Linked DNA regions of Drosophila melanogaster. The protein of the gene in region 1 purifies or fractionates together with the protein of each later gene. This does not show direct contact. Each region holds a gene or a part of one and is shown in the gene's direction. Other genes may lie near its edges.

What was found.
Region 2: the proteins of neb (region 1) and pav purify together in Drosophila melanogaster (affinity purification with western blotting; one study listed by BioGRID). This does not show direct contact.
Region 3: the proteins of neb (region 1) and feo purify together in Drosophila melanogaster (affinity purification with western blotting, with the first as the bait; one study listed by BioGRID). This does not show direct contact.

The regions. Positions count from the first base shown.
Region 1 is NT_033779.5:20,073,912-20,078,884, forward strand, and holds the start of neb (nebbish), read left to right. Parts: upstream 1-1,845; 5' UTR 1,846-1,945; coding exon 1,946-3,385; intron 3,386-4,973. Other genes in the region: pr (purple), read right to left, coding at 5-217, 280-425, 860-939, 1,047-1,114.
Region 2 is NT_037436.4:4,241,077-4,246,795, forward strand, and holds pav (pavarotti), read left to right. Parts: upstream 1-1,657; 5' UTR 1,658-1,801; coding exon 1,802-1,812; intron 1,813-1,871; coding exon 1,872-2,630; intron 2,631-2,688; coding exon 2,689-3,238; intron 3,239-3,298; coding exon 3,299-3,620; intron 3,621-3,675; coding exon 3,676-4,226; intron 4,227-4,287; coding exon 4,288-4,758; 3' UTR 4,759-5,157; downstream 5,158-5,719. Other genes in the region: Sqor (sulfide quinone oxidoreductase), read left to right, coding at 1-100, 159-359, 418-627, 828-1,014, 1,068-1,384.
Region 3 is NC_004354.4:10,851,923-10,856,935, reverse strand, and holds feo (fascetto), read left to right. Parts: upstream 1-2,066; 5' UTR 2,067-2,331; coding exon 2,332-4,347; 3' UTR 4,348-4,490; downstream 4,491-5,013. Other genes in the region: sofe (sister of feo), read left to right, coding at 1-1,488.

The DNA.
Region 1 (4,973 bases):
ATGTTCAATCCGAATCCGACGAGATGTTGGTGCACGAATCGTGAGCGATGCGTTTGTTGATGGGGTTGTAGATGCCATTGAGCGGATACGGGCCGCGGTAGCTGATAATGTTCTTTGGGGTCTCATGGATCTTCACCTCGTACAGCAGCTCCGGCTTCTTCAGCTGCAGACGGATGTTGTCCCAGATGTAAACGGCCAAGTTTTCTGTGGTGCTTGGCTGGGGGGGATAGATATAAAGGATAAGTACGGTAAGTTGTGTTGTGCTTGCTGGTTATTTACTGTATTGGCAAAGTATTCGACATCCTTATCGAGATTCTTGTGGTCCAGGCGCTTCATAATCACAGTTTCTATAGCCTCTTTCAGCTCGGTGATGTTTAGCACCATTCCGGTTCGCCGATCGATGGGACCACGGACGGTTATCTCAACTGAAAAGATCACAAAGGATTATAAAAGAACATCTTTCGTAGTCTATTCACACATTTTTTGGTATAATTTGGTATAATCGGCATCGAGTCAAGCTTGAGTTCTTAAGGTTTAGCTATTGACAATCTAAATATAATCCAAATTTCTAATCAGTTGAGCACTTGCGACACTTTATGCTCGTTCAGAACCATTATTCATTATCAATTCTCGGTCGCCAGTCAACATATTGATTGCCTTTGAGCGTTGAACTTGAATATGGTTTTGATAAGCGAGCTTGTCGGCCAAGGTTTTGCTATGGTTAGGCACCACTTTGGGCTCAAATTACCAGTTTAGTAGGGGGTTAAGCCTGATTGAGCCGGGGTTATGTGATAATAAGTGTGGCACTTTGCAGGTAATCATGCGACTAAGTGTATTTAAGGGGTATTTTTTTTTTTACCTGTATAGTTGTGTCCGTGGCCGTGGAAATTGTTGCACTTGCCGAAGACTTCCAGATTCTCGGCGTCGCTCAATTGGGGACTGAAGAGAAAATAGATGCAGCAATCAATTTAAATCGAACTGAATTGGTTTGCCAGCCGTGATTGAATCAGGCAATTGAATGATTCAATTTGATTCAATCTAATTACCTATGGAGACGATGGCAGGCGCTGAAAGTTTCGCGACGGGTTAAAAAGGCAACAGGTTGCTGCGACATTTCAAGTCCGATTTATACTATATATCTGGATCTGTATCTGGATGTGGATTTATATATGCGGCTGATCAGCTGCGCGCTTTGGCAATGTTTTACAATGAATGCAAAACCTGCTTTTGAGCCGCGCTTATTTATATGGTACTTGGATCGAGGGAACAAGGAAATATAAGCCACAAATGCGGCGACTGCGATATCAACACGCTCGGAACTAGTTTCTCTGAACTTTTCGAGTGCGGCTAATTGCAGCTGATTAGCGATTGATGTTCCCTCGTTTTCTGTTGCAAGTGCCTATGCGTGCTGCAAAGACAGGGTGTGGTATGCTATAGCCATGGTAACAAACTCAATTCAGCAAGGAACTCACCTTTAATTGCTATGGATTTTCAATAATATTTACTTTTGTCTACGTTGCTCGTCAACAGCTGCTCCCGATAACAAGGCAGCGCGTATCGGTTATCGGCCAGAGCTGAGCAGTTTGCCGCCACAACTGTTCTCAGTGATTTACAACTGCACAAATAGACTATTGTATGGGTAGAAATCCTTACACTATTACAATTTCGCTATATATTTATTTATTTCATGTTAGTTCTTTGTCAATTATCTCATAATTTAAATGAGCTGATTAACAGAGTTAGCTAACAGAGTATGTAAGTGCTGTTCATCCCTGGCTCGTGGTGGCGTTGCCGGACCTCACGCCGCTCACTGTAATCAACCCTGCTTTGCTATCGATCGCCGCCCTTCACTAGAAAAAAAATAACAAACGACGCCGCGCAATAATTCGAAACTCTTCGGCGTTATTTAAAAAACGAGCAGAGATACCTAAATAATAATCTAGACATGAGCAACAAGAGCACTCCGGTGCGGCAGCGCATCCAGCAGTTCCAGACGCGAGGAGTCCACAAATCCACGCCGGCATCCGAGATGCGCAAGAAGGTGCTGATGACGCGGGCGGAGGATCGGGAGCACCGGGATCGTCCCGAACAGCTGCTGAACACTGCATTCAGCGGGAGCACGCCACAGCCGAAGCCCAAGCCCACGGCCCTGAATGCCTGCTACACACCCTCGTCGCTGTACAGGAATGCGAACTCTACTCCTGGAAGAGCAAAGACGCCCGGCACCGGGAAATCCAGCTGCAGCAGGACAAAGGAGCGGGACTCTCTGATGGAGTCCTGCCTCAGCGTGTCCGAGGAGAGCAACATGATTGTGGCGGTGCGAGTGCGGCCACTGAATGCCCTGGAATGCACACGTGGTCAGGTCACCAATGTGGTCCAGGTGCACGGAAACAGCAACGAGCTGACTGTCCAAGCGGGCAGCAGTGCTGATGCCTCCGCCGGCGTGACGCACTTCTTCAGCTACGACCAGGTCTACTACTCGTGCGATCCCGAACGAAAGAACTTCGCCTGCCAGGCCAAAGTCTTTGAGGGCACAGCGCGTCCCTTGATCGACACTGCCTTCGAGGGCTACAATGCCTGCTTGTTTGCCTACGGCCAGACGGGCTCGGGCAAATCGTACAGCATGATGGGCATTGAAGCATTGGATGACGCCGCTCTGGATGGCGGACCGCCGCACGATGAGGCGGGCATCATTCCACGCTTCTGCCACGAGCTATTCCGCCGCATAGAGGCTGTGAAAAGTCAGCAGCAGCTGCAGGTGGAGGTGGAGGTCAGCTACTTTGAGATCTACAACGAGAAGATACACGATCTGCTGAGTGTCCAGCATGCGGCAGCTGCCACCGGGGAATCCACGCCCATCCAGCAGCAACAACAGCAGCAGCGTCCGGCTCTAAAGGTCAGGGAGCATCCCATCTTCGGGCCCTACGTAGTGGACTTGAGTGCCCACTCGGTGGACTCGTACTCGGCACTCCGCAACTGGCTTGCCGTGGGCAACTCCCAGCGGGCCACTGCCTCCACGGCCATGAACGACAAGAGCTCGCGCTCACACTCCATCTTCAACATTGTCCTAAACCTCACCGATCTGAGCAGTGACGATGGCCTGTCCTCGGATACGGACTCGAGCACGGCCTCCTCCCTGCGGCAGACGCGGCGCAGCAAGATTAGCCTGGTGGACCTGGCGGGCAGCGAACGCATTAGCGTCTCCGGATCGAACGGCGAGCGGATCCGCGAGGGCGTCAGCATCAACAAGAGCCTGCTGACGCTGGGGAAAGTAATTGCTGCTCTCGCCGATTCCCGCAAGGCGATCGCCAATGGACCCCTGGGCTCTGGGACGCCCAGCACCTTCGTTCCCTATCGCGAGAGCGTGCTCACCTGGCTGTTGCGGGTAAGTGTTACGAAATAGTTCTTAGCTGCGTTTGTACTTATCAACCGGGTCAGTAGGTTGGTCTACTTTCGGCTAATGATAACTCTTTCTTATCCCCTTGGTTTTTGAAATCAATAATTGTACCCAGAAGTGATTGCTAAGTATGTGTTTCGAATAAGTTCAGCTCAGTAAAACCTTATAACCTCATGTCTTCAATATAAATGCATATGTATATTCGCAATGCTTTCCGCACTTTTGCCACCACCGATAGGATTGCTTATCAACACTTTCGCTTCGATTAGGCAGTGGCCCACGGAATGGGGTCCCCTTGCAATCAGTAATTACCCGGAAAGCAATCAGTACGTAGAACTGCACTGCAACATGCAAATGACACGTTGACCCCTGCGGAAAGTACCCACAAAATGTTCGTACGGTCAAATGTTTACTTAACTGGCTGGCAGATATTCGTCTTTTCAACAGATCTCGTGATGAGCTATGAAGCCCACTGTCTACAGAGATATCATCTCGACTCGCGCGACACGCGAATTCTGTTTTAATGATGTCTGCACTGCGAGGAGCAGCTGCTAGACAGATTTATGTTGGCTCTATCAATTAACTGGGGTGCTAATTACTTTAATTAAAATAAAGCGTCAAATTGTCCGAAAAAAACAAGGAAAAGAAGACGACAACATCAGCCAGAGATTAGATTGAGTTTATCTGCGCTTTATAGGACTAAATATGAGAGATCTCGAGTTCTAAACTCGAACCTTGTTATCATTCGTTTGTTTATTTTGTTTGCTAAGATTGCCAGCAGACTTAGTGTATTTTTTATTATTATTATTTCCTTATCATTTTCGATAGGAAAGCCTTTTATTAAGGTCTACCAAATCAAAGACCTCCCGCACCTCAATCAATTGAGTGATTAAAATTTTGGCCTCTTATCATATCTATTTAATCTATTGTTGTTGCTTTTCCTATGTGACCATAAAATTTATGACCTGATACAAAGGCGCACGTGTAAACTTTCTAGAAATTTATTTTAAGAACGCGAATAAAAAGATAGCAGTGTCTTCACCCGGGTAATATAATTATTTTGTTATAAAACCTCAGCAAATGCTTACATAGCATTAGCAGGAAAATTGTTATAAACTTGTCATGAGACTTGAATGTTGTGCATTAGTTAACATATTAGCTACTTGTTTCACGATTGTTTGAATTGAGTAACGACTGCGTTTTCTTTAGCAATCAATGTAACATACTTATGTGTGCATTTTAAGTTAACAACTGCTCTTAAGCGAACGCCACACGTTCGTAATAACTTGATTGTTGGAATATTACCAGGCTAGTTAATCCGAAAGTGAGGGTTTTATATAATACAAGTATCTGGCTTCTAAAAAAAGGCGCACTCGACATTTGCGACGTAATTTATAATCATTCGACTGCATTCAATGAGTAATTACATGGCGCCCACAAGTGAGAGGCTCTTGATCGAAAGTCCAAACACTTGTCTTTTTTCCCGAAACCCGTTCCACTGAGTGTTATTTAGTGTCCAGTGTCCACTTTGCTTTTCGTTACGGTAGTACGGCCCATAAAATGGCTCACATGATTT
Region 2 (5,719 bases), on another chromosome or scaffold:
GTTCGATCCGGATAATAATACGGTTAGCACTTCTGGTGGCAAGACCATCAAGTACGACTTCCTGATCATCGCCACCGGACTGCAGCTCAATTATGGAAAGGTACGTAGGGTATCAGTACGTTTAATAGTTGCTAATATCCATATCCACATATCCATAGATACCTGGCCTGGTGGAGGCCCTGGAGACCCCCGACAGTAATGTTTGCTCCATCTACTCGCCCAAGTACGTGGATCATGTGTACGAATGTCTGCGCAGGACCAACAAAGGAAATGCTATATTCACGTTTCCCAATTGTCCCATTAAGTGTGCAGGTGCACCGCAGAAAATCGCCTATATATCTGAGCACTACTTTAGGAAGGTGTGCATCATTTAGATAGAATATCTGGCAAACAACTTCAATTTGAAACCCTTTTCAGATGGGTCGTCGCGACAACGTCAATATCATCTACAATACATCGCTTCCCGTGATTTTTGGTGTTAAGCATTACGCAGAGGCCCTGATGAAACTGATCAAGAGGAGAAATATCACGCTTAATGTTCAAAGAAATCTCGTTGAAGTGAGACATAAAGATAATATAGCCGTGTTCGAGGATCTCGCCAAACCAGGAGTTCACTATGAGGAAACGGTAAGTGCTGGTCAATTAATTGGGTATTCTAGATACTATATAGATCTAGATCTAGATCCTAGAACTATATCTTTCTACTTAAAGCGAGAAATATGAAGAGTAGGTTAACTAAGATCAATTTTAAAGTCGTATAGTATTGCAGAAATAGGAGAATTGAAGGCCATGAAATTAAACTTATATAAGTATTATATCTTTCTCAGTACTCCATGCTTCATGTGACTCCGCCGATGAGCACTCCGGATGTGGTGGCCAACTGCAAGAAACTGGTAACCCCCACTGGCTTTGTGGACGTCGACCAGTTGACGCTGCAGCACAACAAGTACAGCAACGTGTTCGCCATCGGCGATTCGGCGTCCAGTCCCAACTCGAAGACGGCCGCGGCGGCAGGTAAATGGGTTGGGAATCCTGATCAGAATATTCAATTGATTTTTCACCTCCAGCCGCCCAATCACCGGTTGTGTTCAAAAACGTAATGGCGGCGATCGAGGGCAAAGCCCCAACGGATATCTACGATGGATACTCGTCCTGCCCCATCGTCACCGGCTACAGCTCCTGCATCCTGGCTGAGTTTGATTACAACCTCACCCCCGTGGAGACCTTTCCATTGGACCAGTCCAAGGAGAGGTACTCCATGTTCTTTATGAAGAAGGAGCTGATGCCGGTGCTCTACTGGAAGCTGATGATGAACGGCTACTGGAACGGACCGGCACTAATGCGGAAAATTTTCTCAGTGCTAAAGTTTAATAAAAAGCAATAGGGACCTCAAATGATCTTTAATTAATTTTAAAAGAATATTTGGCATCATCATAACCATTCCATACCTTAATATCATACTAATTTATAAACATTGTACTTTTAATTTGGTATGTGAGATCATAAATAAAAGTATTAAATTAGTTTAAAATCTAGTATATCTAAATATTTTAACCTATTCAAATGGCACGCACTGTACATAGCCTCGGTTTCAGTATGTATCAAGTATATATTGGAGCAGGGGATGGTATTTGCAGCATTAACCGCTTTCTAAAGTTCGGTCACTCTAAAACCAAGCGTGGCGTCGCTTGGCGCTGTAAATTTGAAGGTAACGAACTAAAAGAGAGATCGATTCCAGCAACAAAACAAGAAGAAACCCAACTCCCGTATATCAAATTAGTTGCAAAAACGAGCTGACAACATGAAGGCAGTGTAAGTGATATGACAGTTCCCGAAAGAACAACTCCATCAATGAGAATACCCATTTGCAGACCCAGGACGCCGATGCGTGTCGTCCCGAAAACTCCGCGGGTGCATCAAACGGTGGAGAAACAGCGACGAGACACCTCCGACAAGGCCAGGGATCCAGTGAATGTGTTCTGTCGAGTGCGGCCACTACAATCCGACGCAGATCTCACCTCCCTAAGGGTCAAGAACTCCACGACGATCGCACTGAATCCGCAGGATCAGCTGCTGCAGCATCACAAGCCACACAACGGCGCCCAGCGCGAGGTTCAGTACATATTCAAGCACGTTTTCCAGCCGGATGCCACGCAGCAGGATGTGTACGCAGCTGTGGCCCAGCCGTTGGTGGAGAACCTACTGAAAGGCCGAAACAGTCTGCTTTTCACCTACGGCGTGACTGGAAGTGGAAAAACGTACACCATGACCGGCAACCTGCGACACCGCGGCATCATGCCGCGCTGCCTGGACGTGCTCTTTCGCACCATTTCAGATTACCAGGCCAAGAAGTTCGTCTTCAAGCCGGACAAGCTTAATGGCTTCGAGATCCTGTCCGAAGAGGATGCGCTTTTGGAGCGCCAACACGAGATGAACCAGCGTTTTGCTGGCTCAGGACGATTTGCCTTCAGGCACAAGGACTCGGATCCGGAAATTGCATCCCAGGCCTCCGTGGAGCCAATTCCGCTGCTGGGTTTGGATGAGGACAACATGTACTCGGTGTTTGTCACCTATATTGAAATTTACAATAACAGCGTCTACGACCTCCTTGAGGACTCGGGTATACAGAAGTAAGTATTTATTAAGCATTACATTTAAAGAAATCTAACTGTATTCTTGACCCGACAGGACTTTGCAGAGCAAAATCATTCGTGAAGATGCCAATCGACACATGTTCGTCCACGGCGTCACAGAGGTGGAGGTCAAGACCGTGGAGGACGCCCTCGAGGTCTTTCAAATGGGCCAGAAGCGCAAACGAATGGGACACACTGTTCTCAATGCAGAATCCAGTAGGAGTCACTCGGTGTTCAATATACGCTTGGTGCAGGCGCCCACTGATAGCCAGGGTGAGAATGTGGTTCAGGACCGGCAAAACATCACAGTGAGTCAACTGTCCCTGGTGGATCTGGCGGGCAGTGAGCGATCCTCAAGGACCAAGAACACCGGTGTGCGACTCCGTGAGGCGGGCAACATCAATAATTCGCTGATGACGCTGCGCACTTGCCTGGAATATCTGCGCGAGAACCAACTCGCGGCTAGCAATGGATTGGCACCCAAGAAGGTCCCCTATCGAGACTCCAAGATCACACACATGTTTAAAAACTACTTCGATGGCGAAGGCCAGGTGTCCATGATTGTGTGCATCAACCCAAGAATTGAGGACTATGATGAGAATATGGTAAACTATTTTTCTGACAACAATGTACTCTGGTCCCTAAAATTTATTTATCCCGTTTAGCAAGTGATGAAGTTCGCCGAGATGACCCAGGAGGTGCAAATTGCTCGGGCGACTCCTATGAAGCAAGATTTGGGTCTGACTCCCGGCCGTCGCAAGGCCAACAAGCTGTTCAAGATTGCCGTTAATAATCTAAACGAGCTGGGCATTCCTGAGGCCAAGGATTTGGAGGTGGACGTGGGTTTGGTGTACAGTTTGGGACCCGATTTTCCCGCCTACGAAATGGACAGTCCCGAGGCACAGATCAAAATCCGCGAGCTAATGCATTATCTGGAGCAGCGCATAGAAAAGCGAAAGAAGCTGCGTGCCAACTTGGACATTAAATGTAAGACGTCACTTTCTTAATCTTAACATTGAAATACTAATTCCACAACTTTCAGGTGACAGCTTCCGGCAGATGCTGATGAACCTTGACCGCGACAATCTTCAGCTGCGCACGGAGCTCGCCTCCTTAAAGGCTGTTTACAAGCAGGAGCGCGATCGCAGTGCGGCACTCGAGAAGAAGGTTCGCATCCACGAGAGCTCCATTGACGTGCTTAACAATACGCTAAGCAAGCAAGAACGGCAGATTGAAGAGCTGACTTTCAAGCTGAACGAGAAGGAGAATATGCTCACCCAAAAGGAGCACGAGAAGGAAAAGCAAAAGAAGAAGTTCAGCTCCAAGCTGGCCGTTGAGTCGGACAAAAATAAGCGAGAGTTTGAACTAAAGCTGCGTGAACAGCGAGTGAAATTGCAGGAACGCATGCGCATCAAGGACGAGAAGTTGCGATTGGTCTCCAACATTCTGCAGTCCGAAGATCTGCCCAGTTTGCCGCGGTCACAGAGCTCGGAAAACATACTTAATGAGAAAGATCGCGGTGCATATACGGCGCGCACGGAGGAGTCCTCGGTGCCAGCTACACGAACAGATATATATGCAACGCCACGTCATGTAAGTGTATGATTAATCCTAGAATATTGCAATATCTATTGATAATTTTATATCCCAACAGGGTGCAGCAGCGGCCAACAATCGGCATAGACGCTCTCGATCCGCAGGCGACAAGTGGCTGGAGCATCGGGCAGCTAATCCCGTTCCGCTTGGCACTATTATGCAGCCGTATCTGAAGAATCGCAAATCCGTAACGAAACTAACCGACTTGAAGGAGTTGACTGCTCACGGAACTACGAAGTACTGTCTCGTCTCGCAGGATGCGGATACGGATGGCGATGTGGAGACGAAGCTGTATAAGGGCAATGTAATTCCCACTTGTGGCGGTGGTGCCCAAGTTGTGTTCAACGATGTGGAGTGCCTCAAGCAGAAGTCACCGGTTCACTCGCCCACGCGAAAGCGACCCAGCAATGGCAACATTTCGGCTCTGGGCGGCGGTGCAGTGCCCAGCACGGTCACCTCAGCCCAGGACGTAGCCTCCCGCTGCAATCTCGGCATTGAGGGACACAGCAGCAAGAAGTCGAAAATCTAAAAATGACTCAGCGTGGAATTCTCAAAGTCAATTACCCATTTAGTTCATAGTTACTTAGTTTCCATAACTTAAATTTAAGTTTATTACTCACCCACTTCGGTTTTTGGAGTTGAATCGCATTGAAGTGATTTGTTTGATTAAAGAAAAGTTAATCTGTATAAATAATCCCGTAAATGAATTCGCAACCCCTCGCAAATGGAAATGTTTCCTGCTCCAAATAGTCGGTACCCGGAGGGTATCTGCCAAGAGCAGTTGTTAGAAACTATCCAAGCATCGTCCAATCATAGAACTACTCTAGTGTTATTATAAAGTATTAAATATTTTATTGTTTTTCGGAGTGAACCCAACTCCAGTCCAGTCACAAAATGAACAAATAAAGTGAATTACGCGCATATACTGAAAGTGATCAATTTGGTTTTTATCAATTTTAGATTTTCTGGCTGCAAAGCTCCCAGAGTTCCGTGAAGCAATAACATGTGGCACATAGATGGTTTTAACTATTTTTATTATTATTCCTGCGTTTATTCAGATTTATGCTTAAACCGATAAATTTTATTGAAATACATACGGTACCATTACACATACATATTTGTAGATTAATTTCAATTACTAATAAATCAGTCTATAATTAAAATATATGTTCGCTTAATGATTTCACGTGTGTGAGTGTTGTTGTGTTGCAGTGTTCATGTTGCAGTTGCTGTTTCGTGGGTGTGAGTTGCTGCTCGATGAGTTCGGCAGATGACTCTTAAACGCTATGTGCGGCAAATGTGGCAGGTTCCTGGCAAATGAGGAATTTCGAATTTGGAATTGGAAGCCAATATCGCTAATGCTACTGCACGACAAATGAATCAAATCAAATGTAAAAGGGAAACAATCAGAACGTGATAATAGAATTTAGGTACATACCCGTTCAAGTACAATTAAACAAAACAAGTTGGACGAGACGAAACAAAACCAC
Region 3 (5,013 bases), on another chromosome or scaffold:
GAGCTGGTCAGCCGACGGGCAGAGATCAGGGAGCTACTCCATCAACAGCAGCAGCTCTGCGATGAGCTGGGCGAACAGCCGCTTTCACTTCTAGCTGATCCCCTGCCGCTGCCCGAGGAGATGGACCCCTTTCGGGAGCACCTAGCCCAGCTGCGCGATCAGCGAGTGCAGCGCCTCAGGGATATGGACGAGCTGCGCCAGAACATCAAACGAAACATAAAACTACTCGAACTTCAATTGCGAACGGACTCGGAAAAGCGGTTACTCAATGCGGATAACCATAAGCTTACTCCCTACGCCTACGTGCGCCTGCAAGAAATGGACAAAGAGTTCGCCGACCAGGTGCAGGATCTAATCGACCGCATCGACGAGATGCGCGGCAAGATTGAATGCCTCTGGCAGCGGCTCAGGATGACCGACGAATACGCCATGCGTCGTGTGCGCGAAGCCACGTCCTATAACCAGTGCACCTACGACATATTGCGCGAGGAGCTGGAGCGCTGCCAGGCGATGCGGCAGCAGAATCTGATTGCCTTCATCGAGCAGCTGCGCATTGAGATCAACGAGTGGTGGGATCTTTCACTGAAAAGCACCGAGGAGCGCAGGCGCTTCACCACCTACTACTGTGATACGCAGACCGAAGATGTTCTCGAGCAGTTCGAGAAGGAGCTGGACAACCTTAAGGAGTTCTACAACAGCAACAGGAAGATATTTGAGCTATACGCGAATCGAGGCGAGCTATGGACGCGCATGGAGGCCCTGGAGGCCAAGGCCAACGATCCAAATCGGTTCAACAATCGCGGTGGACAGCTGCTCAAGGAGGAGAAGGAGCGCAAGACTATCATGTCCCGTCTGCCCAAGATCGATCAACAAATCACCGAACTGGTGCAGGTCTACATGAGTGAAACGCACACGCCGTTCCTGGTGCACGGCGTGGATATACTGGAGCGCATGTCGGCGGACTGGGAGCGGCATCGACAGTCCAAAAAGCAGCCCTCCGCCCAGAAGAAGGATGGCAGCAATACGAGCGGCCAAATGAAGCCGCCAATGGTGCCTCTTACGCCCAATACGCAGAAGAGCAACCGGGGCATCCATGGATCCACATCCTCGTTGAAGAAGACGCCGACCAAGGCAAATGCCAGCACCACGGCAATGAGCACAGGGAATCTGCACAAGAGACGGCATCCACAGCATCACAACACCAATAGTCCACAGCCGGCAGCAGCGGCCAAGCGAAATCTAATCGCATCGCTGGAGTGCAACAATGCAAGTCGCAAGGTCTGTGTGAATGGGCAGAAGCTGCTCAAGTCGCCGCAGAGGAAGGTGCGCGTGCTGGAATACTCGGTGCGTCGGGGCAAGGGATCCGGCAGGCCGAGCACAGGGAGCAGGAATCCCCAGAAAATTCGTCCCATACCAAAAATCCATGTGCGTCCGCCGTCCGGCGAGGAGAACGAGAGTCCCGACGAGGAGGCGGTCGTGGCCATATAATGGAGCTAGACTCTAATCACATCCAATGGCAATCATTTCGGCAACTGATCTGTGTTCTATATCTATTACCTGTACTGAAGTATTTGGCTCGCAATTGCAGACTCATCGTATTTATATGTATACACATATGTATAGTGTTAGGGCTTTTCCTAGCGCAAAGACTATCTAAATTTACAACTTTAAAATTCTTTTAACTATTTTGCACTACCTGTGACGGCAAGAAGTAAATGAACAATTGTCCACATTTTAAATTTTTAGTCAGATAAAAACGCTTGTTTACATTATAAATTACTTGATTTCAATTTTACCAAAATATACATGTGTGGGAAGGGTTTTCTAAAGTCTGTGGGATGTTTACTAAGCGCATATAAGAGAATATAATACGTTTTTAAGGAGCAAAATAATTAAAATAGATATTTTAATTTGCTAATAAACCAAATAACGAATTTTAAATATTCAAAAAAGTGGCGTATGCTCCAGCCCTGGTTTTACCAGAAGTTACCGCCGCGTGGCAATGCTGTCCCACAACGCGGTGGCAACACTCTTGGCCGCCATTTCAATTTGAATTTACCGAAATTTCTGTCTAGCGTCATCGATTCATTCAGTTCGAAATTTCGTGCAGTGATGCACTCTAAATAAACCACTAAATAAATCCGCACATTCCCGAGCAATCCTGCCCAGCGTTGTGGGTCTGCGACACAACTGTCAAGTTAACTCAGATATGCTGGTTAAATAGTCCCCAAGTGAACACAACGAAAAAACAAAGCCAGTGAGCATTTACGCAAGAAAAGAAATTTTGAACAAAAAAAAAAAAACACAAATTTCACAACGAAAACGGAGAAAATGAACTCGCCGAGCGCCATTGCGGTGAAGGCCCAGATCCTGGAGATGACGGGCGAGCACGTGGATCAGTTGCACGCGATGTGGTCGCAGTTGTTCGAGGTCAAGACCTGCGGTGAGTTCCTCCTCCGGTTGAAGGACCATGCGAACAGCTTCTTCACGGATTTGCTCAATGAGTCGCGCGAAAAGCAGCAGGCGATCCTCAACGATATAGCCGCCTTGCGGGCAGAGGCCACCGACTTGACGCGCCTACTCCACGAGCCGCTGGACATTGGCGAGCGGCCGGAGTCCATGCCGCTGGTCGTCTGGGAGCTGAAGCTGGACAAAAGCATCGAGCACTTACGCGATCAGCTGGCCAGGCGGCGAGCGGAGATCTGTGAGCTTCTGCTGCAGCAGGAGCAGCTGTGCGAGGAACTGGGAGAGCTGCCTCTGCCACTGTTGGCGGATCCACTGCCGCTGCCCGAGGAGATGGACGCCTTTCGGAATCGCCTGGGCCAGCTACGCGATCAGCGAGTGCTGCGCCTCAAAGAGATGGACCAGCTGCGCCAGGCCATTAAGCACGACATGAAGCTGCTTGAGTGCCTGCCCCAGACGGACACCGAGGAGCGTCTGCTCAACCAGGTGGATCACTGCCTAACGCCGGAGACCTTCGAGCTCCTGCGCAACATGCAAAAGAACTTCGCCGACCAGGTGAAGGAGCTGAGGGAGCGCATCGACGATATGCGCGAAAAGATCCATGTGCTGTGGGACAGACTCCAGGAGACAGACGAGTATGCCATGCGTCGCGTGCGCGAGGCTACGACCTACACTCAACGCACCTACGATGTCCTGCGGGAGGAACTGCAGCGCTGCCAGGCCCTGCGACGCCAGAATCTGAAAACCTTCATCGAGCAGCTACGCATCGAGATCAAGGAGATGTGGGATCTCACACTTAAGAGCCAGCAGGAGCGCAAGCGCTTCTCGAACTACTACAACGACTGGTACAACGAAGATCTGCTGGAGCTCCACGAACTTGAGCTGGACGACCTCAAGACCTTCTACAACAAGAACAAGGAGATCTTCGATCTGTACGAAAGCCGTGCCGAACTCTGGTCGCGCATGGAGGCGCTGGAGGCCAAGGCGAGCGAGCCGAATCGCTTCAACAATCGTGGCGGCCAGTTGCTCAAGGAGGAGAAGGAGCGCAAGGCCATCACCTCCAAGCTGCCCAAGATTGAGCAGCAGATCACGGAACTGGTGCAGGCATACGAGGCGCAGGAGAACACACCCTTTCTGGTGCACGGCGAGAACATCCTGGAGCGGATGGCCGCCGATTGGGAGCGTCATCGCCAGGCCAAACAGCAGAGCTCGGCGCGCAAGAAGGCACCGCCATCGGCCAGCAAGATAATGCCACCGCCGGCAACGGGCTCGACAGCTCCACGCACGCCGCGCACGCTGCGCAACATGTCGACCCTTTCCAGCTCCACCATGTCGCTGCGCAAGACGCCGTCGCAGCAGCACCTCCGTCCACTAAACATCACCAAGAGTACGGGCAATCTGCACAAGCGCCTGAATCCGTCCGGCCTGCAGACGGGCCCCAAAACGCCCAACGCCAAGCGCAGCCTTATGAACACACTCAACTCGATGAAGGCGTCGCCAGCCAAGCACCTGCTCGCGCCCAGCCAGCAGCATAACCAGCTGAAGAGCACCAAGTCGCCGCTGAAACGTGTTCGCGTACTGGACAACACACTGCGACGCAGCGGCGGTATGGGCAGGCGCAGCATTGGAACGCGTTCCAGCAAGAAGGCGCGCACCAAGTCCAACGATCAGAACGCCCCACCCGACAGCAGTGACTACACAACGGACGAGAATCCCGAGCAGGGTGTCAGCTATGACGAATTTCAGCCGACCAGTCGCTCCTCGATGCTGCCGCGCCAGCGTCATCAATTGGCCGTGCCGCGAACTCGTCGTGCGGAAATGAATGCCAATCTGCCGGTGCCGCGGGAAAGCCTGATGATCGTGCAGCCGCGCAGACAGTTCTAGTTCCACTGGAGATTGACTAGCTTAACGCGTACCTACTACACTATTTCATAACAGTTGGAGTTTCTTGATGTATTTTAATTTTTTATTTTCTGTTTTACGTTTTCAGAATAAAATTTATGTGAGTTTTTTCGCTTGACCACAAGACTCGAGTGTATTTCACATTTCTTTCAGCATAATTCGTGTGTAAATTTCAGGAATTGGTTGTACATTTGTTAATAATTTTTTGCTAGTTTTCCACCAAAAAGAAATAGCTGTACATTTCGATGTTTTACTATGCTTTCACGATTTATTTGATCATCAACTAAATTTGTTAATTGTTAGAGGGATGGGGAGCTATTTGCACTTTAATTTTAATATACTAATATACAACTAAATTTGTCAATTGTTAGAGGGAGGGGGTGCTATTTGGACTTCAATTTTAATATACTAATATACAATTCAATTTGTCAATTGTTTGAGGGAGGGGGAGCTATGTGCAATTTAATTTTAATATACTAATATACAATCGCACTGATGCAAGCTTTATAAAAAGATTCCAACCGCCTACACTGTAGTAGAGCAGTTCTTATTTGACTATTAAATACATATTAACACATTAAAATGGGCGGCACGTGTGGTGCCTGCGCCAGTGATGAACCCTTCAATTGGCCAGAGCCCGGTGCGGTG